4 linked regions of the Diceros bicornis minor genome follow. The protein of the gene in region 1 binds, or shares a complex with, the protein of each later gene. Links are inferred from orthologs where the notes say so. Each region holds a gene or a part of one and is shown in the gene's direction. Other genes may lie near its edges.

Region 1 (7,309 bases):
CTTCAAAATCCTCTGTCGGGATCCTCTGCAAGACCATCCTTTCTGGCTGCGGCCCTGTTTGCTCCTGGGATTGTCTATAGTTCTGCCTTCCTGAGTTTTTGCTGCAACTTGGCCACAGCCGCTTGTTTTGGGGCAAAAACTTTCAAGTCCTTCTCAAGAGGAAAGAACATCACTAGGTCGATCCTTTCTTAAAGCAGAGTCTTTTTCATTGAACAAAACTTTCCTGAGTACCTGCTCCATGCAAGGTTTGGAGCTCAGAGGTGACTCAGATGGATCTCTTTCTTTGAGGAATCCGTTTGTAAGACCCTGGGGAAAGACAGACTCATATACATACAGGTGCATTAAGGAGGTCTAGACTCCATTCTGGAAGTATGTAGCGTGGGAACTGAGGGGGCCGGAGGGCACTGAGAGGGTGTAGTCAGTTCAACTCACAGCGTCTGAGTCTGAAAGATGAGGGAGTAAGTATTGAATGGGGGTGGGAAGAGAAGGAGATCCCAGCAGAAGGACAGCTTTTGAAAAGACCCGGAGTTGGAAGAAGGTACTGCGAGGCCGGGAAATGCCAAGGTTGTATGCCCTGTGTGAGATGCAGCTGGAGAGGTAGACAGGAGCCCTCAGGAAAGGCCTTGAATTCCAGGCTAAGGAGCAGGGACTTTGGCCCATATGCAGTGGGAGTGGCATGCATGGTGGAGCCAAGGCAAGGGAGGAAGAAGATGGGATGTACATTTGTAAAGATCTGTCAGATCTTTTACTGGGCGAGGCTGGGAAGACACTGAGGCAGAGTGCTTGAAAGGCTGTTGCTACAAGCTGGAAGATCTTAAGAAGCATCCATCCAATTCTTTTATTTTATAGATGCACAATCTGAGGCCCAGAGAGGTAAAGTGACTAGCACAAGATCACCCAGCAAGATCAATAGCAAAGTCCAGGCTTCAACCTGTGGGTCCTACCTCCCAGCAAAGGCTTCCTTCACTGCCCCAGTATCCTCAGGAGGTGAGGCATCCCACTGGGATTTCTCTGTTGTCCTTTGCCTCTGAATCTGTTATGTGCTCTGCCCCTACTGAAGACCAGCCTGCTAGGGCAGTGACGGGGGAAGTGTTCCCAGAGGACAGAGTGGGGAGCATTGCTGGTCTGCTTCTGAAGATGCTGCAGTTGCTGCTACTGCTGTTGCTGCCTCCACACCAATCAGGGAGCTTTCTAGCCGCAGGGGAAAGCCAGGAGCCAGGGGATGGGGCTGCAGTGATTTATGACTGCACAGAAACAGCAGGGCACTAATGTCTCTGGCTGGCCTGCTTGTCCACCAACTCAGCCAGAGAGGATGCATGTAAAGGTCACGTCCTCCAGCGCTGGAGATGGGGCGGAGGGTTAGCCATACGGGGTGCCTGCAGAGTTCCCTTGTGTCAGGCCAGTCACCAGAGTCACCTCCTTTCCTGACCAGATGCCAAGGGGTAGATCCTCATAGCCTGGTCAGGAAAGGGTGCCCTTGCTGCTGGGAGTCTGGAAGATCTGCCTGAGTTTGAATTTAGGCTCTATCAGTCACTGATATGTGACCTTCGGCTGGTCACACAGCATCTCTGTGTCTCAGCTTCCTGGTCTAAAAGTCAGGGATCATGCTGAGCCTCTGAATCCTTGGGACTGAACCATCTCCCAGGTCTGCAGGTACAGATTCCCTGTTTCCACAGCTAAAGAATGCCAATAGCTTTCCATTTCAGAAGATGAACATACTGAATATAGAACTATGACTGTCACAGCTGGGTGGAGCATTTAGTGCTCATTTCGTTTAATTTCTACTTCAAAGGTGGGGAAATTAAGACCCAGAGAGGGGACAGGCCTTGCACATAGAGCTGGGAGCCAGGCAGAAGCCAGAATGCTAGTTCTCCACCTCCCTGCTCCCTGCTTTCAGTAGTACCAGGCAGTGGAGGGGGAAGCCAGAATATTAAGCCCTTTGCTCTGTGTAATGTCGCCATGCCTCTGAAGCAGCCCTCTAAGCAGCTAGGGGCTGCTGGGCAGCTATAGCTTTAAGCCTAGTGTCTTAAAAAAATCAAGAAGGGAAAGGAGGGCAGGACCAGCTCTTCCTGAACCACTGGAGGGAAGCCTCCACGTGGAGACTGCAGGCCGGAGAGGCAGCCTGAAATGTGCCAGGAAGTTCCCGAGAGTTAGCATCTGGAGCCTGAATCGTTGGTACGTTTAATCCACATGTGGACAACCAGGGTTGGCTGTAAAGGACATTCCCATGGACCTGTGATGTCCAGGCTAGAATGGTTCAGGCCTGGCCTGTAGGGAGGAAGAGAAAGGAAGAGGAATGACTTGGCGAACACTCATGTAAAAGACAGAAGGAAGTGGGAGGGTTTATTCACCAGCACAGTTGCATTTTGCTGGGTGGTGTAGTAAAAGAAGGGGGGCTACAGCCTATGTTGGAGGAGGGAGAGAAGAGAGCTATTTCTAGACTCTCTCCTCACTCAGTCCATCTCCACTCTTGCCAGAGTAGTCTCCCTACAGTGCATGCATTCACTTACTCATTTCTGTATTTCATATGTTCTGCATATTTACTGTGTGCTGGGCACTGTGCTAAGCACTGAGGAGGCAATGATGTTGAGGAGGACAAAATGCACATCTTATCGTTTTTCTGCCCTGATTAAAATCTCTCACAGGCTTTCTATTTATTTCAGAATAAAGACTTCACTCCCTTGCCTGCCATTCAGGGCTCCTCATGTTTTGGCTCCTGACTCCATCCCCAGCCCCACTACCCATCCCTTCAGGCAACAAACACATTGGATTCTTTGCCTATCAATAAATATTGATAGGAACCTGCCTCTGAGTCCTGCTGCTGGTGTCCTCTGCCTGCTCTCAAATCCTACACATCCTTTAAGGGCTGAGTTGGAAATGTTACCAATCTCTCTGGAGAAGTTTTTCAGAACCTCTTCCTATCAAGCCTGAAAGAATTTAAAAAGATACTTAACACATTCTAAATTCCTTGAGGGCAGGGTTCCATTCCCCCTTCCTCCAGCACCTAGCACAGAGCCTGGAATATTCCCTCACAGAAACTCCTTCATTCTAGGTTCTCATACACAACACTTCGTATCCTTTATTTTTTTACTCCTTATCACTTTCTAACATACTCTACATATTTATCTTTATCTTGCCTCTTTTCTTGGGTAGGGATTTTTTTTGTTCACTGCTGTACCCCGTTGCTTAGAACAGTGCTTAGAACATAGTGCTCAATAGATAATTGCTGAATAAACGAAGTCAGTAAAATGTGCAGTCAAAACTATGGGGTGTGTGAGCTACATGGAATGTCAAAAAGGGAAGCATATGAGCAAGAATTTGTCAGTCTGACCTTAATGTGTATGTTCTAGGTGGGGAGAGAAGGGTTGGTCAACCCCCAGATACAGCCCAGTGTTCGGCATACAGTAGGCTCTTGGTAACTGAATTGAATCTTGAACACTCCATCCTGGAGAGCAAGAAGGGGCTCTCCAGTCAGCCTGCAGACAGCTACGTCCTTTCTGCAAATTAACCAGTACTCCGGTGGTAACTATCCTTCCATGTTTTCACCTCGTCAGGTCCAAGAACCTCAAGGTAGGGATGGGGAGCTGGAACCTTGTAGGGGAGGGTGACAGTCCCCCAAGGTTTAGCTCCTTAATTAAATCTGCCGGCCGGCACCACTCTGACAGTTTGGATCTACAGGGGTCGCGCCCCCTATCCCCCGTCCCCCTCATGGCCTGTTACTGTATATCGGAAATAGAGGCCAGGGCGGAGGCCCTGGCCCCCTCCTCTGGTAATTTCCCAAAGAATATAGGGCGGGGCCGTGAATCAGCACTCGCTTGGACTGATGCAGTCTTCGTCCCCGCCAGGGGTCCCCAGCGGCCGCGGAGTTAGACCGCCCATCCTCCACCTCCTGCGCGCTGTGACCACTGGGAGATGTAGTCTTGACTGCCCCTTTGTCCTTGATGTCCCCAACGTTTCACCGCACCTGAGGATGAACTACAACTCCCAGGGGCCCACGCGCCGGGGCCTAGCAGGGTGGGGGTCTGCGGCGCGACGGACTGGGGTGCATCTGGAGAAGCTGGGGCGCAGTGAAGTGAAGAACGGGAAGTTCTAGGGGACAGCGGGGAAGGAGGGGACGCCTAGAAGGCCGCGGCGAGCTGAGCTCGGGTGAGGGGGCCGGAGCAGCGGAAGGGCCGGGGCGGGGCCTGGGCGGGGTGCGCGGGCGGGGGGCGGGACCGGCTGCGTCACGCGGCGTGGGCGGGGCCGCAGGGGTTGTCCGCCCGCGGCACGCACAGCAGCCGCAGCCGCCTCGCGCCCGGTCCCGCGGTTGAAGCTCTAGCCGCCGCTTTCGCGTAGTCGCCGTCGCCTCAGCCGCTCGCTTCGTGGGTCGGTCCCTCCGGCACACGGGCTCCAGCCGCGCCGCAGCCGTCCTTCAAGCCGCCCCGGTTTCCTCGCCCAGCTCGACCCAGCCCGCGAAGATGGTGGACCGCGAGCAACTGGTGCAGAAAGCCCGGCTGGCCGAGCAGGCGGAGCGCTACGACGACATGGCCGCGGCCATGAAGAACGTGAGTCTCTTCTCCCCTCCCCCCACTTCGTCCCAGCCCCTTCGCAGACGCGGGCCTTCGCGGGGACGGCCCGAGGACTAGTCGCCTGTCGCGACTGCAGGGTGGGCCGCCCCTGCTTACCCACTCGGGCCTGGCGAGGGTCCCGATAGCGATAGGGCCTCTCCCCGCATGTCCCCCAGGGCTGGCGGTGCTGCCTCCTCGGCCCTCCCCGGGCTCGGTCTGGGGCGGGGTCTGGCAGGGCTGGTCTCAGGAGCGGGGTCTCTGGCCGCCGCGTCTCTGGGTGTGCCGGGGACCTGAGCGGGGGCCGTGCGCATCCTTTGTGCCCCACTTCCCCTCCTCCCAGTCTGGGCGTGGGGGCGGGGGACCGCATGGATGCGGTTCCTCTTTCTCTCCCTGGTGTCTGGGCGGCGCCTTCCCGATTCACTTAGCACGTCTCTGGGTTTTCTGATACTCCCCCCACCTCCCCGCAAATCATCTTCCCCACTGCCTCTTCTGACAGATCCTTTAGAACCCCCCCGGAAAAAAATGTAGGCTCTCCCGAAAACCTGGGCTCAATGGTGCAAAATCGAAACCTCCTTGCTCACATTTTTCTTAACAAAAGGCTCCTCTTTCTCCATTCCCCAAAGCAAGTTCTCTTGCTTTTAGGAAGGGGGAACGTTTGTCTCGCTAGCGTTTTCATTGATTGTTCTCAACATGTCATCTCCATTCCCCGCCCCCCCGTTTTTGTATTGAAAAGGGTAGGTTTTGTCCTTAAAATAAAGGTGGTGAATTTAGCTTACTGGTTCAATTTGTGACATATGCTGTTTGTTTTTTAAATACAGGCACACATCTGTTGAAATTTCTATAAGTTGAAAAAATATTCTCTCTGATCTGATATTGCAGACAAAGCGGTGGTGGGAGGCAGTATCAAGTCATTCCAGAAGATTCTGCATTTGTCATATTGCAGAGAGCCTAGACTGGGTGGAGGCTGGGAGGAGTTATTTTAAAGGGGCAAAAGTCTCTTCTTTTTTTTTTTTTTTGATTTGCTTTGTTGGATACATCTGAAGCTTTAAAGAAAAAAACACCTAGCACATCCTCCTGCTGATGAAAAGTCAATACTGATCTCCAGGTGTCGCATTTTGTCTGGGATGCAGATTCCTGCCTGTATTGCACCATTTTGTCAGTAACACCACATTTACTTAATGGGCTGTCAACCAGTTTGATATTAGAGGAGGGGGGACGTTTTGATCATTATTCAGTTAAACATGGCAAATTAATGATTTAGGTCTCCTACTATCTTAATATTTAACTTCCTGCCTTATGTAACAAAGGTTTTAAAATGTGTTTCCAGTGTGAAGTGGGTGCAGCAGTGTACCTTGCATGTTAAATCTTTTTAGTGAAGCAGTATAGGTGTTACAGATTAATTCTTGAGTAAGTTGACTAGTTCCCAAAAGATGACAGTGCTGATGCCTTTATATTTAAGCCAGCTACATTAACAAAAAAGATTATCTTGTTAAGAGAATTGATTCTGAAATTGGGAGTACTGCTGTTTTAATATTTTGCCACAGTCACTGTCTTTAAGGCTCAAATGATATGTTGGACTTTTAATAGATATCAATATTGAAAATATCTTTAGTTTGTGTTATTTAGACTCTTCTAATTTTTACATATTTCTAGTTTCACAGGAAAGTGAGTGACCTCGCACCTATAACCATAGCAACCCAGTGATGTCACACACAATGACACAGAGGCTGCAGTGCATCTAAGGGCTGGTAGGGAGTTTGCAAATGCAGTTTGTCCAAGGTAATGCAGAGATTAACAGATTAGCCAGGTGGAATTGAGCACTTCATCTTCCACCAGAAAAGAATTGGTCCAAAAAATAAGAATTTCATTTACCCTTAGATATGCAAATCAGTGACCTTTAGGTATGCCTATTCGCCTTGCTATTTCTAGTTTTCTCGAAGTTTATAAATACATTTCTATTTTTAAACATTCATCTCACGATTAAAATGGGGCAATGATGGAATAAAGATAGAAATTTTAAACAATATTTTAATGATAGTGCAGGGGCGGGCTGTATACTTGGGTTCATTGCAAATTATTAACTTGGCAACTTTTAATAAAAACCTTTAAAAATGACTTCCTGCTGGATCATTTTCAGGAAATGTTAGGGAATGAGAATCTGTTACAAAACACCTTAGGTTGAGATTTGGAAAAGTTCTTTTTTGCTATATTTTTGCTTCTGCTGCTTGACAGGGTATGGAGGAAAGAACATTTTATAAGATAAAGCAGACCTTTTTCAAACCTGTTTACTGTGACTTGGAGGAATTAGGCTCCCCTCTGGCCCTCGTTTTCCTCATCTGTAAAATGGGTCAATACCTACTTGAAAAAGTTGTGAGAATTAAAGAAGAAATGTAGTAAGTGCCCCAAAATGGTAACAATTTATAGAACTTTGTTTCTTCCTCTGCTGGAGAATTTTGAAAATACAGGAAGATACAAAGAAAATAGTCCTACCACTGAAGTAAGCTTTCTTCTGAAGCTGAAATCATCCTGTTGATAAAGGGATTAAATTTATTTGCATTTAATGAAATTATCGTAGTAATAACACTGTTGGGACCTGTACGGCGTGATACTTGTATGTGGATGGCCAGGATAAAAATAACATGCAGTATTTTGAAAAGGAGGGAAGGAGTAGTTTAGTCTTAAAAGATAACTGTGTAGTCTTGCGTTTAAGGAGAGTGAACACGGAGAGGTCTCCTACTTACTAGACAATACTATCTTGCCCT
Region 2 (7,299 bases), on another chromosome or scaffold:
CTATCCCCATTTATTTACTTTGTCTATGGCTGCTAGAATGGCAGAGTTCAGTGGTTGCAACACTGTATGGCCTGCAAAACCTAAAATATTTACTATCTGGTCCTTTACAAAAAACATTTGCTGACCCCTAACATAGAGTCAGAAATGTCCAAAATGCTCCCCATCAGCCCTGATACATATTTTGGGGGAGAAAATAGAAAAATACAGAGCTATGCCTCCACCATTCAGAATTGACTGTTAACATTTTGCCATTTGCTTCAAATCCATTTATAAAAAAAGGCATAAAATGGACAACATTGCTTATGTTCTTCCTCTCTATTCTCTGTCCCTACTTCCTCCTTTGGGACAGACTCATGAATTTAATTTGCACTCATCCCCTCTGACTTTTAAAGCACTTGTATATAAGCTCGCGGCCATGAACAATATAGACTGTGTGGGGTTTAAAAATAGTACACACAAATTGTGCATCATATTTGTGTGTATCGTATTCTGCAACTTACTCTTTGTTTTTGGGATCTCCTCATGTCTGTACAAATAGACCTAATGCATTCCTTTGAACTATTGCGTGGTATTCCATCAAATGACTATAACACATTTCATTTATCCATTCATCTGATGAACATTTAGGACGATTGTTCCCAAGTTCTTACTGTTACCAACGAACGAGTGCGTGTTGGATAACATCAGAAGGGGTGACGAAACCTGTCAACCTTTAATTCGGCCCTTGACTCTCCCCTCAACTCTTGATTCCCTTCCGGCCGCTTGGCAGGGTCAGCGAGACATCCCCTGGGTAACTTTCGGTTCAGGTCTGGGTTTCGAAACACCGAAGGCCCCCGTCTGGCAGCCCTTGAGCTCTTCTCCCCCGCCCCCCTCCCTCGCAATGCTATTGCCCAGCTGGGAGACTAAACACACACTTAAGGCTCCAGCAAAGTAGGGCGCCAAAAGTAGAATGTTCGAGAAGAATATGATGTATTTCACAAAAAGCATCTAAGTAGTCTTGGGGAAAAGCCAGAACTTCATTGGGATTCGTGTAGTTTGGTATATCCTGGCGGAGTCGGGGTGGAAGAGGAACACCGTCCCCCAGCCTAATTTAGGGCGAGCCCTGAGCAGTGGTCAGTGAGGAAGCGTGTTCGGAAGGGGTTTCTCCAAATGGATGGTGACCCGAAATCCAGGCCACATCCACCGGGGTCGCCTGGGGCAGGGGTAGCAGCCCCGGGGCGGGAGCCGGGGAGCGGGGCGGGCCCCCGGGTGTCCCGCAGGCTTGGGGAACTTTCCGCGACTCAGCCGCCGCCCTGCAGTCCCCGCCTGTGGCTAAAACAAAGCGAGCGCTGCCGGCGCGTCCGGCCTGCCGGAGGGTGCCGCGGCCGCCGCGGGGAGAACCGGGGCAGGTGCGCGCCGCGGGCGGGGGCCAAGCCGCCGCGCAGCCTCCGGGGCTCGTGCGCCCGGCAGGTCTCCCCGTGTCCGCAGCTCCGCCGCCTCCTCCGACCCCTCCCGCCGGGCCGCACTTCCCCTCCCCTGCGCCTCCTCCCCTGTCTCCGCCTCCGCCTCCGCCCCGCCGCTGCTTTCCTCTCCGCGAGCTCCCGCCCCCTCCCTCCCGGCGCGGGGCCGAGCCGGCGGGGGCGCGCCCGGGTTTCCAGCGGCCGCGGCCAATCCCCGCGCAGCCCGCGGCGGCGTCGCGCCGCAGCCGGGACCGGGCGGCTCCTCCCGCCCCCGCCCCCCGCGCGCCCGCCGGGGCCGCGGAGAGGAGCGCGCCGCGCCGAGCCGAGCGCAGCCGAGCCGGGGGCGCCGAGCGCGGAGCCCAGGTGAGCGGGCGGGAGCTGGGAGCCGGGCGGCGGGCGGCGGGCGAGGGACGCAGCTCCCGGCGGCCTCGCGCTCTCGGGGCGGGGGACCACTGCCGGGACTGCAGACAAAGCCCCGAGGCCGGCTCCGGGCTCCCCCACCGAGGGGACCCCACGTGCGCCGCCCCACGCCCCGCCACGTGGGGGACGCGGCTCCTGGCGCCCCTTCCCCCGCGTCCTCGGAGCGCCCGGGGTTTGGGGGTGGCCTCCTTGGCTGGGCCGCGCCCGGCCCGGGTGGCAGGGGCGGTCGCGGAGTTTGGAACCGCTGTCTCCGCGGGCGGGGGCAGTCAAGGATGCTGGAGGCGGCCTAGGCCCACCCCCGACGTTTGACAGGTGGGGAAACTAGAGCGCGCAGGGGACAAGGCCACCGGACTTGGAGCATATCACCCCCGCACCGCGCGTGTCTTGGGGGCAAACCCAGGCCCTGGGGGCTTGGACATCAGGCGGCAGGACCCCAGAGCAGCACTTGCGGGGCCCTTTGCCCCCGCCCCCCTTCTCGCAGCCGGAACCTCACAGCCTTGGTCCTTTTGACCTAAATTCACCTCGGGGACGCAGCTCCGCTGTGAACGCAGAGAGGTGCCTTCACTGGCACCCTCCGCCTGCCTCCCGGGGACGCGGGGTGCTGGGCCCAACCCCGCTCTGCATGCCTGGGGTGCCACTCGCTCCAGCCTCGAGCTTTTCCTGGCTTCCCCCACCCCCTGCACTGCCCAGTTTGGGAAGCCGGGTGTTTTCACAGCTCTGCCAGCTGCCCTGCTGCTCTCACTTGGCGCTGAAGAGCTTGCACCTCTGCCCCATATCCCGCAGAAGGTTGGGGCAGACGGCATCTCAGTGGCAGTCAGCAAGAGAGGGGCGCGTTGGCCTCGGGATGGGACATGCAGGGTCCTTTTCCTTAGAGGCAACTTTTACCTTCCTCGGTCTGGAAGTCTCCACAATCCTAGAGATAGAAACTTCTTGTGCCCTAGAGCTGTGCTGTCATTCACCACTCCCCCGCCCCTGCCCCTGCCCCCAGGGGAGAAAAGAGGATAGACTTAGGTCCCCATAGGCTGCCTTGTTGCTAGGGGAGGCAGGGGCAGCAACAAGGGGAGGGCTTTGGGGGAGTTAGACTGCTTCTCCCAAACCACCCCACAAAAACATGCAGCTTAAGAATAAACAGTGTGCATGCTATGCAAGTGCAGCTTCCTAGTGAGTCTCGATCCTCCTTCCAGATGGCTGCTCATAAACTCTTCCTGTGTAGAAAGCAGCCATTCGCAGTGAGAGCACACAACATATTTTTGTAATAAGAAGTAATAGCGGTCATTTGATGAGCCCGTAACTTGGATAATAATATTAATGATGTGAATAACTCATATTTGTTGAGTTCTTGCTGGGTGCCAGATACTGTGTGATGTGTTGCATGCATTATCTCATTTAATGCCTGCCAACATCCTACAAGGCAAATTTTTATCCCTATTGTAGATATAAGGAGACTGAGGCTGGAAACAGTCCTGCAGTGTTGCTAGGAGTTAGTCCCATTTTATAAAAGGGCTCAGAGAGGTTAAGTAACTTGCCCAGGGTCACACAGCAACCCAGGCATGTCAGGCCTTAGAGCCTTTGCACTTTACCACCTGTTCTAGACCCGGGGCCCTTGCAGGCTGCCCTCAGCTTCTTGAGGAGCCCAGAGTTGTTTACCAAACTAGCCTGTGAGAACACATCTAAGCAGGCATGGTGGTGATGCTGATTGGCTTGGGCTTGTCTTTGCTCCCAGGTTGTTAGGGGGCTGGTGGCCAAATGTATTCACTAATAACTATGCGGTGGCCCTCAGCCAGGGCAGTCTCACCTTCCTGGCGAGCACTTGGAAAAGTGTGGAGGTGACTTTTGGTTGTCAAAATGATGCTGAGCACTCCTGGCTTTTGGTGGGCAGGAGCCGAGATGCCAAATATCCTGCAAGCGGGCCAGATCCTCAGCAGACATCCACAGCAGGCATGAAGAATTGCCCTGCCCTAAATGCCAGGAGTGCCTCTGTTGTGAATCCAGGAGGCTCCCTGAAGGAGGTGTTGTTTGTGCTGAGCCTGGAAGGATGGGCTAAGAAGTGGAGATTGGATGGGAGTAGGAGGAAGGGAGATAGGACGGGATGACCTGGCAGAGGGAACTTTCTGTAGGAACCCAGAGTTCCCTCCTTGAGGACCTCAGTCTGGACCCAAGACAGGCCAGTGGCTGTGGAGGCACCTTTCTCAGGAGGAAGGGGTGGGCTGGGTGGGGCAGGCCAAGCCTGTTTTCAGGGCACTTTGGCTCAGATTTTAACATGGGGCACAGCATCGCCTGTACCCCTCCATGAACCGATTTTGTGGAAGGGCTCAGAGAGGCTGAGTCACTTGTTCAGGGCCACCTGTGACCTTCTTCTCCCCAACATGCCTGCTTCTGGTGGCTGTGGGAAGCATATGGTTCCCATTTCCTGGAGATTTGGGGCAAATGCTATTTCAGATTTTCCTTCGGGTCAGAGGGCCTTCACTGCTATTTTTGCCAGATATTTTGCTTTTGCAATAGCTCCTCCCCTTTGGACTGGGTTAGAGAACCCGGATGTGGGGTGCAGGGCGGCCTGGCTCTGTGGTGCTGCAGTGGCCTTCACCCCAGCTTCTGTGCCTTCTTTCCTGGAAGTTGAGGAGATTGCATTGCCTTTTGGAATGGACTTTTCTTCTTTGAGGCTGTGCTTGTTACCTTACTGACCTGCTAATAATATGTGACCTTTTGTGTCTGGCTTCTTTCATTGAGCATAATATGTTCAGGGTTCATCCAACTTGTAGAATATATCAGCGCTTCCTTCCTATGGCCGAATAATATTCCCCTGTATGGATACAGCACATTTTGTTTATCTGTTCATCCATTGATGGACATTTGGGTTCTTAATGTCCATCCTCTTCAGGCGACTGTATCCATTCCTCTGCCTCGGCAGCCCCCAATTAATAAACCTCTGGGCATAAGACATTATCTTCTCACTCCATTTGCAGAGAGAGGGCGATGCAAGGATGGGTCTCTGAAATCAGTTGGGGACCAGCTTCCTGGAGGAAGGTTTTCAGGACTCCCTTAATTTCACTGCCACCCGCTCCTCCGCAGGACTCCTAGCTCCCTTCTAAGCCCATTGCCTCCCCGGTCAAGTCACAGGTGTTAGAAGTGTGATTGTCAGGGAGAGTCTGGATTTCATTCAGCTCCATTCTTTTCAGTGATGACAATTCGTTAAATGTAGGTCCCCGTGTGATTTTCTTGGTATATATTTTGTGAAACTTCTGCCGGGTAAGTAAATCCACAAAGTAGAGAAAGCCTCACCAGACAAATCGAGCCGTAACTCGGTGGCCGGGCCTGGAGTCGGCTCAGTCTCTCCTGATAGCTTTGCCAGGAATGCCCACCACGGACCGACCGGAAATGGAGCAGCGTGAAAACAGAGCTGGGAGGGAGCCCAGAAAAGATGGGGCATCAGCCCCTCTCAGTTGACCTGGGGAAGGTGGAGCGCAGAGAGGAAGGGAAATCACGATCTTTTCATTTGTTGACTAGGAGCCGAGCTGTGGGCTGGGCACTTTCATATAGAGGATGGATGCTACAGCTGCCTGCTAGGTAAGCCAGGGTGGCTCCATTTTATAGAAGAGAAAATCAACCCTCAGGTCCCGTAGGATCCTGACACACCCTCTAATCCCGTGCTCTTGTGTCTCCCTCGCTCTCCTTATGCTGGCAAAGGATGCCCATTTTCTCATGGAGTAGAATCCACCCTCTCCAGGCGGTTATGGTGCAGAAATAATTTCTGAATGGTTTTGCTCTCTGAAAAATAGGATTTTGAATGATTATTTGTTCTTTCTTCCCTGATTGCATCGCTGCCTCAACAAAACCAAAAAAAATAGCATATTTAAAAGGAGGTGAGTGCTCTTCGACTTCCTAGGGAAGACCTCTGGCTCTGGCATTCCCTGCTGGGGGATGGTAGTGACCAAAATGGGGAAGGAGTTATTTTAGCCACCAGTGTTCTCAGTTTCTGTCCTGTTTGTAGTGTTGCCACTGAATTTTTTTTCTTCAATTATGAAACATTTTAAGCGTAGAGAAAAGCCAGAGTTTTGTTTTGTTTTGTTTGACTGGCTGGTTTTTTTGGAAGGCTGGAAGGAGGCCCAGGAGGTGATGGAAACAGGGCAGAGCAGGGCGCTGCGCTGTACTTAGCAATGGCTCTGGAACCTTCATGGTCTTTCATGGAACCCACACTTTTTGGGGGGGCTGGTGACAAGGAACGCTGGAACTTGGTCCCTGTCCCCAAGAAGCTCCCAGGTAAGTGGTCTGTGAACTATTGGGGAGTGCTTTGGAAAAGATAAACAGTTCTAGCATTTTTCCCTTTTGAAAAGGAGAGAAAGAAAATAGGAAGATTCTGTGTTGTGCCCCCACCCCCATCCCATCCTGAAAGCTGCTAAGTAACTATTTTTATGTTGTCTCTTTTTATCCTCTTGGCTTCTGTAAATAGTTGAGAGATGGCAGTTGCAGAGATAAAAATGCTAATTCTAACCTGGAGAGGAGAGAGGATGGTTCCCCAAGAAAATGCGCCCCTCCCCAGGCCAAAGTCTTGCCCCTCTGCCCGCTTGGCTTGGGCATGAGATAGGAAGTGAGTAGATGGGGAAGGGGCATTGTGGGTGGTGCCTGAGATAACCTTCTGCTGGAGGAGTTTAAATGGGGAACTAGTGGTTGGGGCAGGGGGCAGGGTGTGGAGGAAGGGACACTTCCCTTATGGGTTTTAAAGGTTTTTATTGGGATTTTGCCTTCAGGGCCTCTGGTGGAAAGAGATTTTATTTAGATTCATTTCAGACGATGCTCCCACGCTCTGGGTCCAGGTGTTGGGACAGGGTTGGACCCCCAGAGCCGTGCCTGCGCTGGCTGGGGTTCCTTTGTGCTGGAGGCTGGGGAGGGAGAGAGCTCGAGTTAGCATTACCTCCAAATGGCAGGGAAGAGGGAGGGAGGAGGGCCGTGGGTGGCCAAGGCACGGATGCTGTGGATGCCGAGCCGGCCCCCTCTATCTCTGATGTGCCAAGCTGCAGAATGTTGAAGTCGAAGTCTTTCTTTTCATTACAAATTGAAATTTCAGTTGTTTCCCTGTGTCTTCCTTTGGTTCAGTGAAAGCCTGGGAGGAATTCAGTGGGAGAAGAGGAAGGAAGTGAGGTGGTTCCTACCTCCCTTGTCTAGATACCCGGCCCCCACTTGCCCACACCTTCACACTTTCTCACTCTTCAAGGCAGGGCCACCAGCCCATACCTGGCTTTCGATACCTGGATGTGTGATTGGGGCCGCTCTCTCCGTGATCCTTTGTCATTGACAGAACAATAGCTCCTCAGAGCTCTTAAAACGTTGAGCTTCTTGCTCTGTAAGTGTCCTGGGCCGCAGGGGACACCTGGTTCTCACCCCAGCCTGGCCTCAAACCAGGTCCTCTCACCTCCCTGGGTCTCCGGAACTCCATCTGCAGCCC
Region 3 (7,052 bases), on another chromosome or scaffold:
CTGGGACAGGGTGGGAAGGAATACTGCGGATACATGTGGAGACAGCCTCTGCAGCAGGCACCACCTTGGGGGTGGATTTTGAAGAATCAAAAGTTAACTGGGCCATGAAGCATATACACAAACACGTCCTACAGGTCTGCAGAAAACAAAGAATTCATAGAAAACATACTTTGGCAGCGGAAGCAGGACACATCATTCCATGGCCACAGCAGTGCTCACAGTGTGCAAAACACCACGTGATCTAGAGAGAGTAAATAAGCCTCGGTCTCTGCTCCCAGGCACAAAATATATTACCTAAATATGAGGCAAACTACTCAGAATACAATGCACATTGAGAAGAAGGGAGAAGGAAAGGTGAATTTAACTCTGGTCCTAAGTACAAAGAGCACTGGGTATGAGGGTGGGGAGTACTCTCATTAAGGCACTACCTGGGGTGGGTGCAGTGAGTAAAATCCAGAAAAATCAAGGTGGGGCAATCACAGGTCAGCCTTCAGCAGAAGAGGGGAGGAGGAAGTCTGAGCAGGAACTGAGGGATTCCTGCAGAAGAGAGGTGGGGCCAGTGGGCTCCGCCTCCTCCCCCTCTCTCACTCCCCCCACAACCTACTTGTGTCCAGTCTGGCCGAGACAGGTGAGGGCGGAACTCCTAAGGCCGGTGAGAGGGCGGGAGGGTCATGGGATTGGGGCAGGGGTGGAAGGAGGGTGTCTGGTCCCTTTGTAGAGTCCACCACTTCTTCCTATACAGAGTTCGGAGAGCTCCTCACAGGCTGGTTTTGGTGTACGGGCTGCCTAGGTATTGCTGCTGGTTGCAGAGGAAAGACAAGGCTTCTCCCCACCAGCCTCCCAGCCCCTGTGGTAACTCCAGGCAGGAAACTTGAAATCTGACTTTACCAGGTTAGGGCAGGTAGAGGGTGGGGGACCCTGGCAGATATGGCGTATAGAGAGGTCAGGTGTTACCTGGGCCTCTGTCTACTGCCTGGGCCTTTGTCTGTCAGATTCTCTCCCACGTAGTTGTGTCCCCATGGCTTTGTTGTGTCTCTCTGCACTTTCTGCCTCCAACCAGAGCATGGGCTGACTGAGGAAATGGAAAGACAGGGTCAGATGGGGTAAGTGGTGCTCCTTTCCCCCTTCTCTTCCTAACAGGGTCAGACTGAGGGCCTCTGACTGGAGGGTGGGGGTTGGAGGTTCAGTGCGAGCAGTGGAGTGAAAAAAGGCAGGGCCTGCCCAGCACCTGGATTCCAGAGATGCCGGTGAGCACCGAGGTTCCAGGCAGTGGACCCCAGGACTGGCTCCTGGATGGTGTAGAAACATAGAGCTGGAAGGCAGACAGCAGGGAAGAAGGAAAAAGAAAGGTAGCAGGGCCATGACACTGTAAACTCGCACAGGGCTGGGAGTCAGAACTCCTAGGCTGGTTTCCTGGCTATTCCACACACACTGATACCCTGGGACAACAGTGTGATCCTAGAGAGAATCACAGAGCTGGAGGGAACCCTGCAGATCATTTATTTTGGCCATTTATTTGATTTGAGATTGAAGAACCTGAAACTCAAAGTATGTCTAATATGGTTACTTTGCAATCTGACCCAGCCATGATGCCAATTGCTAGTGTAGACACAACAGCTGTGTGTCTTTTTACAGGAATCTGGGGAGGGGCCATGGTGCCAAGCCAGTTGTGGGGGCGACTGAAGAACCTGCTTCTCTTCCTGTGCTGCGCCTCCCTCCTCCTGGGGCTGGTTTTGCTGGGCATACGGCTGGACATCGCCCCTGTTGCTTATTTCTTTCTGACCTTGGGTGGCTTCTTCTTGTTTGCCTGCCTCCTGGTCTGTTTTTTGGAATGTGGGTTCCAATCAGTGCAGACCCAGAGCCCGGGGGCCTCAGGCAATGCACGGTGAATTAAGGGGCGGGCAGGAATGGAGGCACACCAGGGACCCATTCTCCCCGCGTCCCTCTAGTCTCTCGGGCACACAGTCTCCGCTTTCCTGTCACTGGTATCAGTGAGAGGAGGGATCAGGGGCTAGTGGAGGGGTCTTCTGTCAGTAGAAGTTAGGAAAAGGGGTCCTTTCAGGAAGCCACCAATGACCTTACTTCTCCTCCCTCAGGGACAATGAAGCCTTTGAAGTGCCAACCTATTTAGAGTCCGTGGTGTTAGAATCACACCCCCAAGAGTTGGATCAACCACCCCCCTACAGCAGTGTTGTAATCCCCCCAGGACTTGAGGAGGGACAGTCTAGCCATCCAGATGGGCCCATGAGAGCCAGACTGGAAAGGCGAGTGGGCTCAGAGGGGTCCATAATCACAAGAAGCCCTGGAAGAGCTCCACTCAACCTTCGGCTTCGGGGAACACGAGTCGTGTCCACTGTTCCTGATCTGCAGAGCTTGGGGACCCTACAGAAGCTCCCCAGATTGGAGCCTCTTACTCCACCCCCTGCCTATGATGTCAGCTTTGGTCACCCTGATGATGATAATGTTTTCTATGAAGACAACTGGACACCCCCCTAAAAGACTTTCCCAGGATATATCAGCTCTCTGCACCAGACCCACTCATTCATTTGACCAATATTTCCCAGTGCCTGCCACGTGTCAGGAACTGTGTTTCCGCCTGGACATCACAAATGGGGACTTTAACCCAGAGGGGAGTCAGGCTATGGTAAGTCCTTCCCAGTTGAGATGTAGGTGGTACAATTTGAGTCTTCAGGCAACATTCAGTGACCTACTCCATGTCCTCTATTTCCAGAGTTAGATTGAGGGTGAAATGAAGAGGTGATCCAGAGAACCTGGAGGAGGAAGAAAAGAAACAATATCTGAGAGACAGCCATGTTGCTTCTGTTTTGGGTGCACTGCCTCTATTAGATCACTTAGGCTTCTTGGCCTTGTAAAGTATTATTACCCTTATCTGAAAAATGAGGATTCCAAGGGTAAGAGAAGTCTGATAATTTGCACAGGCGCACACTTCTAGTAAATAGCATAAAAATGACTTGAACTCTGCTCTTCCGATCCCAAAATCCATTGTGTTTTCAATACAAGGTAACAGAAGCCTCTCAATCTCTGTCTTGGACAGTTGCTGGTGAGGGGTGTAAAACTTCACATAGACATAATGGGGGACCAGTTGTGTCCACAGAAAGGGTGGGCTGAGTGTGACCAGGAATGCGCCCAGCCCCCTAGAGAAGCAAAGCTAATCAAAGTTGTGATAGCCCCTGCTCCACTGGGGAGCAGTCCCCAATGCAGTATCCCCATCCTATCGGAAAGCAGTGGAGTAAACTGCCCCAGGGGATGTTGAGAATGGGTGGGTAGGTGGGTCAGAAAGAAAAAACGTCAGCATCTGGGCGACGGGTGGCAGAGTATCTAAGGATCCCTCTTCAATCACCTATTGTGAAGAGCTGGAGCCACTTGCACTGTGCCTCGAATCACTTCAGCCTCACCCATGCGCTCCGACCGCTAGGGTTTTACCCCGACGCCCCGCCCTACTTCCCAGTTAGAACATCAGATCCCAACAGAACACCAGATATTCTTGAGTCATGTGCTGTGGCTGTGATGTAGGTTTTAGCCACTGGGTGCTGCTCAACCATCGCTGATCCACCCTCCTCGGGGTGCGCTCCCCTCTCCGGCCTTCATTCATCGCGCGGGGATCTGTCTAGCGCCGTTTAGTGTCTCCACCGTCTCCTCACCCCGCTGCCAACCGTTCAACTTCAATAAAGTGAAAAGTCCGACCACATCCGTCTGCATAAGGTTCTTGCAAGAGGCGGGTGAGGAGGGGTGGGGCCGGGGAGGGCGCCGTGATTTCCGCGGGAACCGGCGACCAATCGGATTCCCGCGCAGGACGGGGCGGCTCCGCGGTCTCCCCCCGGCTCCTTCCCTTTCCGCCGAGCGCGCTCTCTCACCAATGGACGGCGCTTCCACCGCGAGGGCTCTGCGCCTGCGCGCGCACCGGCGCAGGCGGCGGCTGGGGGGCGGGGCCGGCCTCGCGTCGGGGTGGAGCTAAGAGGGAGGCGCGCAGGCGCGCTGTGCGCTGGCTGACGAGGGAGGGATGCGGCGGACGCGACGGCTTTTGGTTTGTTTGGGTTGTGGGCGGTGCGTGCACAGCCCGGGAAAAGCGGGAAATGGCGGCGCCGAGCGCGGGCTCTCTGCCTGCCCTCCAGCAAAAGGGGCTGATGGCTGCTGACAGGGGGCGCAGGTGAGTGGGGGAGGGCCCCAGGGCAGGGGAAGGCGGGTCTCAGGCGTGAGGCCCTGGCGCCCCCTCCCCTCGGAGCCCCTGGAAGCAGCTTTCTGCAAGGGTGGGAGGCCGGGCTGAGCCCCTGAGGGGCGCGCGGGCCGCAGGCCTTTTCTCAGCCTTGTCCCTCGTAAGCAAAGACTGCCTCAGCCTCCCTTCGTCCAACCCCGGCAGATCTGAACAAGAGGAACCGTTTCCAGTCCTGCCAAATCTCGGCTTCTCTTAAAGATTCTCCATCTTTTGTTTCCCCTGCTTGCCTTATGAGCATCTGTACTCTGCCCCCTTAAAAACCGATGAGACCTGCAGACCTCGGAATTCTGCCTGATGTGCACTTGATCGGATTGAACATAATCATGACCCATATTGCTTTGGATATAATGACCAGATTTGCAAAGCAGTCAGCACAGGCTTTGGGGTTTGAGTGCTTTGAAAGGAAGGGAGGTTCCCGAGGCCGCATATGTGTCTCTCCCTCTGCCACAGTTATGTCATTTCATGGCAGACATCACCCAGGATAACATTATTTTAATGCCTCCTGGTCCGGACCAGAAGATTAATTTAGGACTTCGGAGCTGGAACTTGCAGAAGGACACAGAATCAAGACTTAAGAACTCCCTTTGTGTCCTTTTCTTCACCCCATCTTTCCATTCTAGGCATGTCCTAAATTTCTAGGTGATTGCACTTACATTTGGAAAGTCCACGTTTGAGACTCCACATATTATGGAATACAGGAAGGAGCAGGTGTGTGGAGAAGGGATAATGCTTCAGATTAAGCCTAATGAGTTATTGATTGAAAATTTAAGTCTAGAACTTGAAAGAGTTAAGAACTGGGAGTCAATTAGTGAATTGTGAGTATGGATGAGATTGAATAGGGAGAGGCTCTTTGAGAGGGGGTTCCTAATGGAATATCAGCATTTAAGGGCAGGCCAAAAGTCCTGTGAAGGAAACAGGAACATTAGGCAGAGAAAGGACCTGGAGAGAATGGTGTCATGGAAACTAAGGGAGGAGAAAGTTAAGGAGAAAATGCTCTGGTAAACTAGGAAGAAACCTGAGTAAACTTGCTCCACCATTGATATTAATCCTAAGGAAATACCCAGCATCCGGCTGCGACGTTACTTGTGGTTGGCCTATTAACACTTACTTTTACTACAGTAAGTATATGTCATCATTGTTACTGTTTTGATGTGTTCTAAGGTGATTCTTAAATGGAGTTTTTAATTTCTCTAGATTGTGTTGTAGCAGGTTTGTGCTGAAGGTTTAGGGTAAAAAGAGTATTACAACAGAAGAGACACAAAAAGTTAAAATGGAGTTTCAAACATCACTCTCTCATACCCAAAATTGAATCAAAGTTGGCTGCTTCCAAACCTGGGAATGTTTTACTGACCTTTTCCTATGCCTTTAGATTCTTTGTGCTATCTTCTTGGGCCTCTCTCAGCTCTTCTAAGACTCTGCATTTCCCTCTAACTATAAATCTCTAACTTAAAGTCAAACCAAGTACATGGTAGATGTATGCTATTTCACTGATTCTAAGATGCACATTTTTCCCCCCACATTTTAACATCTTTGAAATCAGGATGCATTTTTAAATAGGTTTTCAAGTTATAAACTGAAGCTGTTACCATATCCTTTCTCACTGCCATCAGGCCCTTACTGTCATGTATTTGGAAACTGTGACTAAGTAGGCTGGCAAGCTCTAGGTTTATATAAACTAGGCACGTAGATGTTATATACTGGAAATGAGATTCTTTTAGTTCATAAACAGAGGCTGATCTCTTTTCAAACTTACAGCAAAACTAAGGAATCCTTGAAATAAAGACATCCCTAGTAAATGATTTAGCCTTTACATAATTTAACTTGTTAAGTGATTTCAAGTTATGTTGATTGTGTTCATTATTGGCATTTATCTATTGTGACTTTTCGTCGTCTTTCTACTCACTCAATTCTTACAGGATTCTAATCATAAAAGCCATAGTTGTAATTGGTGTAAGTAGGCTAGAGAGAGAGTATGTATGTGTCTGTCTGTCTTATTTTTTCTTCTATTAAAGCTGGCCATTGGCTTGAGTTTTTGCCATTGTATTAAATTATTTTATTCCTCACTGAGAATCATTTTAAACTTAAATCACTTTCAGCAGTCTAGATAAATAATGTAAAATGTTTTCTGAAATAATCCTTGATTAAAATTGGTCTGTCAGAAGAATATTCTTTCTCATGAATATGTGTGCCTGTGTGTGTGTTATTTTTGTCAAGTTAGGTATTTCCCTTGGTCAGACCATTCATCTCAGAAGATGGTCTCAGTTGAACATTCTCCATAAAGAATTATACATCATTTCCTTATGACCAATGTGTTACTGCTTAATACTTCTTTAGTTTTAACCAGATTCAATAAAATATATCTAATCTTGGCGATCATAGGTCCTGTTCTTTTTGCTCTTCCTACCCACACCTCTTCCACTCCACTCTTCTGTGCCAAATCTTGTACTTGACAGCCTTTTGTCTGCCTTTATCTGTAGGATACTGGGAGTATGTGGCATGCATCCTGACCATCAGGAAGCTCTAAAAAAGAACCGAGTGGTGCTGGCCAAACAGCTGTTGCTGAGCGAACTGTTAGAACACCTCCTGGAGAAGGACATCATCACCTTGGAAATGAGGGAGCTCATTCAGGTATCTGGAGGCAAAAGAGAAAAGCCAAGAAAATAAATTGGTTGTAGGAGTAGGAACAGAGCGTGATAAAGTGTGGCAAGGATGTAGAACCTTACTAAGGAAATGAAAATGCCCTTCTTTGCTAGAGCATTTAACAGAAAAGATATATAATTCAAGAGTAATGGGAAGGACTTCACTCGTACATATTTTT
Region 4 (7,342 bases), on another chromosome or scaffold:
AAGGATGTTGTGGGGAAGAAGGGTTATGTATGTATATAAATAGAGGTATGTCTGCGTGTGTGTTTATAAACAGAATTGTCAGACCAAACATAATGTTGGAAGCAGTAAAAGTAATGAAAGTCTGACCTAATCATATGCCAGGACACCTCTCTCTGGGTCTGAAACATCTTTGTCAGACTGTAATGTATATTTACATCCTTGGTCATCACGGCGGCACACTGTGAAGAGCTTCGGCTGCTCTTACCCTCCTAGTTTAGGTAAATTTATAAGCAGAACCAGTTTATGCACATGAAGCTAACAAGGCCTTGCCCTTCTCTTTTTTGGTGAGCTTTTCTTCCTTACAGGGATGACTTTTTTCCTTTCTCCTTCTACTTTTCCAAGTTTTAGTTGGCCACTACTTAGCATGGTTAAAGCCCGTTCTCAGGAAAGAATCTGAGGAACACACTTAAATTAAATTGAAGATGATGAAGAAGTAAAGTATAGTGAAATTTTGCTCTGGTAATATCTAATGGTGAAACCTCAGCCATCACCTGGCAGAGTGAGTACCGTATGACAGGAAGGTTGTCTCTTATAGGTGTTCATCTATTGAGATCATTTGTAGGAAGCACATAGCACATTGCTGAACACATAGCAGGTACTAAATAAATGTTGGCTTCCTTCTCTGCTCTTCCTCCTCCTCCTCCTCTTCTTGCTTCTTTTTAATATACCTTTAAAATGGTGCCACACAATTGGTACACCCATGTTCATAGCAGTATTACTTACAATAGCTAAAACCCAAGTGTTCACTGATGGATGAATAGATAAACAAAATGTGGTGTGTATACATATACATATATATATATGTATACACAATAGAATATTATTCAGTGTTAAAAAGGAAATAAATTCTGCAATATGATACATGGAAAAATCTTGAGGACATTATGCCAAGTGAAATAAGCCAGTCACAAAAAAGACAAATACTGTATGATTCCACGTATATGAGGTACTTAGAGTAGTCAAAATCATAAAGACAGAAGTATAATGGTGGTTGCCAGGGGCTGTGGGGAGGGGAGAATTGGGAGTTAGTGTATAATGGGTTAGAGTTTCAGTTTTACAAGATGAAAAGAGTTATGGGGATGGATGGTGATGATGGTTGTGCAACAATGTGAATGTATTTAATAACACTAAACTGTACACTTAAAAATGGTTAAGATGGTGAATTTTATGTTATGTGTATTCTACCACAATAAAAAAAATGATGTCACAGATGGCCACCTAATCTTCTATATTCAAGATCAATTATGCTTAAAACATTAGGAAATTCTGTTGGGGAAGCATGTTTAGTGGTTAAACGATTGGGCTCAGGCAACAGGCTGTTTAGGTTCAAGTCGCAGTTTTCTTTGTTATTATTAACTCTGCAACTTGCTTGGGAAAATTACCAAACTTTCTGTACCTCAGTTTCTTTACCTGTAATATATGGATAATAGAGAAGTTACCTGTCCCATGAAGATGTTTATAAGAATTTAAAAAGGCAACACATGCTGTGCATTTGGCATGGCACCTGGCATATATGGTAAGTGCTCAACAAATGTAAGCAAGATTATAATCAAATTTTATGAGCTGATATTTGAGCAGCTTGGAGAGAAGAGCTTCACTGTTTCTTATTACCACCTTCCACTCTCATGCCAGCTTGTTGATCTCTTTCCTATTCCTGACATCTCAAAGATACATTTAGGATTCCAGCGATGACCTTCAGCTATATTTGAATACTTTCCCGGTGCATAAGTCTATATTCCCACATTAGGTATGTACCTAGATGCAAATCTTGAACATTATGTCTCAGTTAATTCATTTGTTCACGTCTGCTAAACAATGTTAACATTATGAATAGTAGTGAAGTCTTACTTATACCAAGAACAAATTTGGGATGTCATCTTTTATGATAAAAATCTAAGGTCTTCCTATGCACATGCTTGTGCACACACTTAAAATGGAATATTATAATTAAGTGTCATTTATTAAAATTATATAACTCCAGCAGCTACTTGGTTTGTCGATTTCTGCTTTCTTGTCTCAGTCTTGGAAAGGTCTAGCAATTATGATTTCATGAAACTAATGTGAGGAGAAAGACTGGGTTGGTGTGTAAGTGATTGTATATAAATATATGAGGGATGATTTGATTAGAAGCAATATTACACAATGATAGGATTGATGGTTTGAAATTAGACCTGAGTTCGAATCTTGGCTTTACCATTACAGGTATTGACTTAACTTCTCTTGTCTGTTTCCTCAACTGAGAATTGGGGAGAATGACATCTATTTACATGGTTGTTGTAAAGTTTACACGAGATAATGCCTGGCAAATAGTAAGAACTGAAGAAATAGTTACTATTTTATTTATTCTTTCCAGAAGGAAACTGATTGACAAATATTTGGGGTCTCTTTGAGCCATATCACTTGGTCAGCTTCTGTGATCTTTGGAACTTAATTCTTAATCCCTTTATTGTCACTTGCTCTTTGATAACAAAGAGAAAGTGATTACCAATTCATTTCAAAATGTGTGTATTACAGTTGATGGGTCATAGTAGCAGTTGTAAAGCAAACAACAGAGTGGGGGTGGGGAAGTGGATGGAGTAAGTTCAGTCACATACCTGGGAAAAGTCAATAATGAAGATGGAGCCTCAATGTGTATGTCTTACCAGAGAGAGGAAAACATGGGTACAAGATTTGAAGCAATAAATCAACTTAGAAATGCTGAAGTTCTTTCCTGGCATCAAACTTCATGCAATTTGGTTTCTCTCTTTGTTCTTATTTTCTCTACTACTAAAATTTAGGATAATAAAATTTAAATGTTTATAAAACCCACTTTAAGACAGAAAAAGTATGACCTTGAAATGCAAAGTGGAGCTATAAAAACTTGCTGAACGCGTTCATTAATTTAAATACATGTTCCTGTCTATTATTATGAAATGCATAATTTTGTTTGTACTGTATTTGGGTGACCACAAGTCAACAGTAAGGTAATTCACAAGTAAACACCCTGGCCTTAGATGTAGAGGCAATAAAGTAATCACACCAAAATTTTTACTTTCATTTGAATTTTTCAGTTTAAACTCAACGTGCCCTTGCTTTTACACAACAGGATTAGGGATTAAACACTTGGCTCTTTAAAAACCATCAGACAGGCACAAAATCTACACACCAAAAACTCGGGGAAGGTAAGGTGCCCACACCTGGGAAAGCTTAGATGAAGATGGCGTTTCTCTAAGTCAAGTCAGAGGTAACGCGCTACCTTCGCTGCAAAGACTGCTTGGATTCCTTTCTGTGTATTAGTCAAGATGTTTTGCTGACTGAGTCTAGGAAATCTACAGGAGGGCGGGTTAGGTTACACGCTGTCCACTTGTCATCGTAGTCTCTAACACACACAAAAGCCTTCCTTAAAAACGCAAGCCGGACTGAAAAACTTAGGACAGACAATGAACACATCCTGGGCGGGTAATGGACAAAGCGATAACTCCTCTTACCTTCTTATAGGATTCCACCCCCCGCCCCCATAAGTACATCTCCTAAGAGATCTCTGCTACAGTTGGAGCTCGCCTAAGCCTGAAAAGAACAAAGCTTGGTTCTTCTCTCTGACACTCAAAGGAAGCGCTAAGGTGAACACATCTGACACTGCCGCGGAACTTTCCGGCTCTCTATGGCTGCATTTTGATACAGGAAAGACATATTTTCGTTCCCCTTTCAAAATGCACCTTGCAAAGGTAACACGAACCCGGCTAGGATCTCGGAAAAGGGGAGGAGGAAGAAGGCTCGGAGAAGTTGGCAGCGGTGACTACCCGGTTCGGCAGAACCTGGCGTGTGGGAGGGTCCAGGAGCTTCCCCGGGGGGCTGGTTCTGCTCCTGCCGCTGGCTCTGTCGGTCCTCGAGCGTCGGAGACTGGACCTGGAGAGCGGCCGCGACTGTCCCCCACCTGCGGGCTGGGCTGGGGCTGGACGGTAGGGACGCGGACCTGCAAGGAGCGCGCGCGCGGGAGGAAGGCTGGGAGTCAGAATCGGGAAAGGGAGGCGCGGGGCGGCGAGGGAGGGAAGGAGGCGAGAAGGAAGGAGCGGTGGGGGTGCGGAGGGGGTGGAGAAAGCCGCTAGAGCAAGTTTAGGGCCGGACCAGGCAGCGCCGGCTTTTAACCTGGGCAGTGGGGGCGGGGGAAGGAGCAAGAGGAAACGGGAGGTGTGTGGGGTAGGGTGGGTTGGGGAGTTGGAAGCAAATGACATCACAGCAGGTCAAAGAAAAAGGGGCGAGCAGCAGGCACCGAGGAGAGTAGGGCGTTTGGCATTAGGAGCGCAAGCCCAGCCTGCCCCGGAGGGATCCCGGCGCCCCCAGAGACCATGCAGAGGTCGCCTCTGGAAAAGGCCAGCGTCATCTCCAAACTTTTTTTCAGGTGAGAGGGTGTCCAGCCGAGCTTCGGAAGGACACGTGCCCGTGAAAGAGGAGGGCGTGTATAGGCTGGATTCTGGGGAAAGAGGAATAGTTTTTAAAAAGATGCGCTATCATTCGTTGTTGTGGAAGAGAACGTGGATTTTGTGGAATAAAATAGAAAACATTAAGAAGAGATAAAAGAATAAACTGAAGCCCATTGTTTGGGTAGAGAGCCTTAGCTTAATATTGAAGTCTTAACTACTTGCAACTGAAAGTCAGGCTCTCAAGACCCAAGTGTGCTACTGTGCATTGTTGTTTTAGATTTTTCTAAGAAATTTATGAATTATAAACTTGTTAATAGCAAATACTTAAGTTTGGTTACTTGTTTTCCCCCTTCCTGCCTTGGAAACTCAGATGTCTTCTTGGCACACAGACAACAATGCCATGCCTGCCTGTAGTAGGTGCTCAGGAAACATTTGTTGACTGAATTTTGAACTTTTTAAGGGGAGAGGGGTGAAGCGAGTAATATGTGCTTAAGTAAAGTTTTTATTGTTATGATACTCAGTAAATCGAACAAGCATTTGCCGCAATTCCATTATTCTTCCTTTTAAGAATGAAAGCAAATGTTTTGAAATATCTATCTTAAAAAAAAAGCCAATTTACGAGCTATAAATTTTAAAAGAGGGGTCAGAATTATCATGGAAATGTGAAGCCATGGGAATAGACTCAAGTTATATCCAATTGACATTTAATAAATTGTACTCATCCTATTTTGCATGCGATAAGCCATAAAAGCTTGCAAACTTCATCTAATGAGATTTTTAAAAATAGAGTCTAAGTTCAGAGTCTTAGGCAAAGTGTAATTAGATGTAGCATTTCATATTTGAAGTCTTCTTTGGATACTATATCTGCTTTGTTCCTGTTAAACTTGTATGAATGAATGAATAGGTACAGCTCTCCCATGGGATATTGCTTGACTCATAATTATCCAATGAATCAGCATACTTAAGGTATCAGAAAAGCCAAATATATTATAAATATGCCCATATGTGTGTGTTGAGAAGGTACTCGGCTTTCACATCTTTCTATGTTTTATTCCCTGCATGAGCAATAAGCCTGGGACTTAGGTGCTAAGGAGAGGCCATTGACCGTTGAAGGAGAGCTCCTCCCTGTGGATGAGAGAGAAGGACTTTACTCTTTGGAATTAATCTTTTGTGTTGATGTTTTTAGCACCTTTTGTTACTCCATCTATAAAAATTGGATTATCTGTTGATCTATTTTCCTACTACTTACCAAATCAGAATGCTAACTGGCATAAATTGTAGACTTTTTAGTAGAGCACTTTGAGGAACCTAAATGCCAGTCAGTGTAAAAATGCAGTTTTCAGAAGAATGAATATCCCATGGCTACTTCTAAGTACTAAGTACTAAGGAACTTTCAATGAGCTCATTGTTGATTTAAATTAGATCATTGTTGATCTATTAAAGTTTTTTTTTAAACAGATCCCCTTATAAATTTTAGTATAGTTTAAAAAATGCTCTCAGGTTGATTTGTAAAAAAAAAAAAAAAAATGTATTATAGTGGCTACTAGATTTGTTAAGAGCATACTCATTCCTCTTCTCCAAACTATTTCATAACAAGTTGCTCTAAGAATAGGTATATTTAAAAAAGTTAAGTTCCTACTATTTATAGGAACTGACAATGACCTAAAGTATCAGTGATTATAAACTTCCTTCTGGGTTGCAATTCTGAAAGGATAAGAAATTTATTTTCTGGGTTGAATTAGACAGTACTGCTTAGGGATCAAGGGTGTTAGATTTTGGATTTGGATTCTTTTGATTCAAATCCCAGATCTGCTACTTAGTAGCTGTGTGACCTGAGGCAAGTCCCTTAACATTTCTGTGTTTGTGTGACTTGACCTTTAAAACTTGGAGACTAATAGGACCTATGTCATAGGGGTTAATCTGTTGAGAATAATGCATGTAAAGTGTTTGGCCCAGTAAATGTTGGCTGTTATTATTATTATTATTATTAATTACCATACTTTTACATTCTTTACAATACCACATACCTTGTTTATATAAGATAATCAGTTCATCTTTGTTGAATATAATTCGTGACTTTCAGTCTGTATATGCAATGAATGGGCCTGGTTGAGAATTTAGTTTAGGTAAAATCTCATCTAACATGGCCTTACTAGATGTATAGGAAAAAAGTCGTATGCTTATATCATGTGTTGTTAAATGCCTTAGAATTTAACATTCTGAATATGATCCCTTCAGTCTCAGAGTCATAAAAAAATAAAGCTATTATGGTCTGGGTTATGGATTATATTAAATATCTCTTTCATTATTTAGGTTTTGTTATTGGAAAAGTTAATAAAATTTGGGAAAAATTTAAGTACTTTCTTAATTTTGCATGAGTTTCACATCAAGTACAAAATCTGAAGTGTCGTAATGCTTATATATGTATTTTAATAAACATAATCTAAAAAAGAATTTTAACACAAAATTTAAAATAGTTTATGAATATCATAGAAAACAAGTAGATTAACTTAAAGCTTTTATGAAATAGGAAGATGTTTTTGAACTAGAGGTGATATATTTGCATAGAATTTATGATTCATATACAGTGACAGTGATTTATAAATGTTTACCAACAGAGATGATGTTTTTCATTTTTGAGCAATTTTCCAAGTTTACATTTTCTTTTCTTTTTTTTTTTTCGTGAGGAAGATTGTCCCTGAGCTAACATCTGTGCCCATCTTCCTCTAATTTGTATGTGGGACACTGCCACAGCACGGCTTGATGAGCGATGTAAGTCCATGCCCGGGATCCGAACCTGTGAACCCCGAGCTGCCAAAGTGGAGTGTGCAAACTTAACCACTATGCACCCAGGCCAGCCCCCCAAAGTTTACATTTTCTGATAACTTTTAAGATAGTTATTC

Evidence for each region.
Region 2: the proteins of YWHAG (region 1) and CAMKK2 are in contact, whole or in part, in a crystal structure (PDB 6Y6B), measured with the Homo sapiens proteins. The link is inferred for Diceros bicornis minor from reciprocal best matches to the Homo sapiens genes YWHAG and CAMKK2. Residues at the interface, in NP_036611.2 of Homo sapiens: Ser46, Val47, Lys50, Asn51, Arg57, Arg132, Tyr133, Gly174, Leu177, Asn178, Val181, Glu185, Ile222, Leu225, Asn229, Trp233; in NP_001257414.1 of Homo sapiens: Leu99, Ser100, Leu101, Gln102, Glu103, Arg104.
Region 3: the proteins of YWHAG (region 1) and CASP2 are in contact, whole or in part, in a crystal structure (PDB 6S9K), measured with the Homo sapiens proteins. The link is inferred for Diceros bicornis minor from reciprocal best matches to the Homo sapiens genes YWHAG and CASP2. Residues at the interface, in NP_036611.2 of Homo sapiens: Glu15, Asn43, Val47, Arg57, Arg61, Lys125, Arg132, Tyr133, Pro170, Gly174, Leu177, Asn178, Val181, Glu185, Glu213, Asp214, Lys217, Asp218, Leu221, Ile222, Leu225, Asn229, Leu232, Trp233; in NP_116764.2 of Homo sapiens: Asp137, Leu138, Ser139, Leu140, Pro141, Phe142, Pro143, Val144, Cys145, Glu146, Leu150, Lys152, Lys153, Leu154, Ser157.
Region 4: the proteins of YWHAG (region 1) and CFTR are in contact, whole or in part, in a crystal structure (PDB 5D3E), measured with the Homo sapiens proteins. The link is inferred for Diceros bicornis minor from reciprocal best matches to the Homo sapiens genes YWHAG and CFTR. Residues at the interface, in NP_036611.2 of Homo sapiens: Lys50, Arg57, Arg61, Lys125, Arg132, Tyr133, Leu177, Asn178, Val181, Glu185, Ile222, Leu225, Asn229, Leu232; in NP_000483.3 of Homo sapiens: Arg766, Gln767, Ser768, Val769, Leu770.

Annotation. Positions count from the first base shown.
Region 1 is NC_080765.1:3,537,480-3,544,788, reverse strand, and holds the start of YWHAG (14-3-3 protein gamma), read left to right. Parts: upstream 1-4,296; 5' UTR 4,297-4,457; coding exon 4,458-4,544; intron 4,545-7,309. UniProt on the Homo sapiens protein: Adapter protein implicated in the regulation of a large spectrum of both general and specialized signaling pathways. Binds to a large number of partners, usually by recognition of a phosphoserine or phosphothreonine motif.
Region 2 is NC_080774.1:8,552,927-8,560,225, forward strand, and holds the start of CAMKK2 (calcium/calmodulin-dependent protein kinase kinase 2), read left to right. Parts: upstream 1-4,280; 5' UTR 4,281-5,277; coding exon 5,278-5,423; intron 5,424-5,949; coding exon 5,950-6,116; intron 6,117-7,299. UniProt on the Homo sapiens protein: Calcium/calmodulin-dependent protein kinase belonging to a proposed calcium-triggered signaling cascade involved in a number of cellular processes. Isoform 1, isoform 2 and isoform 3 phosphorylate CAMK1 and CAMK4. Isoform 3 phosphorylates CAMK1D.
Region 3 is NC_080742.1:90,548,442-90,555,493, forward strand, and holds the start of CASP2 (caspase-2), read left to right. Parts: upstream 1-4,037; 5' UTR 4,038-4,094; coding exon 4,095-4,168; intron 4,169-6,711; coding exon 6,712-6,862; intron 6,863-7,052. Other genes in the region: TMEM139 (transmembrane protein 139), read left to right, coding at 1,551-1,885, 2,097-2,496. UniProt on the Homo sapiens protein: Is a regulator of the cascade of caspases responsible for apoptosis execution. Might function by either activating some proteins required for cell death or inactivating proteins necessary for cell survival.
Region 4 is NC_080742.1:68,339,460-68,346,801, forward strand, and holds the start of CFTR (cystic fibrosis transmembrane conductance regulator), read left to right. Parts: upstream 1-4,323; 5' UTR 4,324-4,364; coding exon 4,365-4,417; intron 4,418-7,342. UniProt on the Homo sapiens protein: Epithelial ion channel that plays an important role in the regulation of epithelial ion and water transport and fluid homeostasis. Mediates the transport of chloride ions across the cell membrane.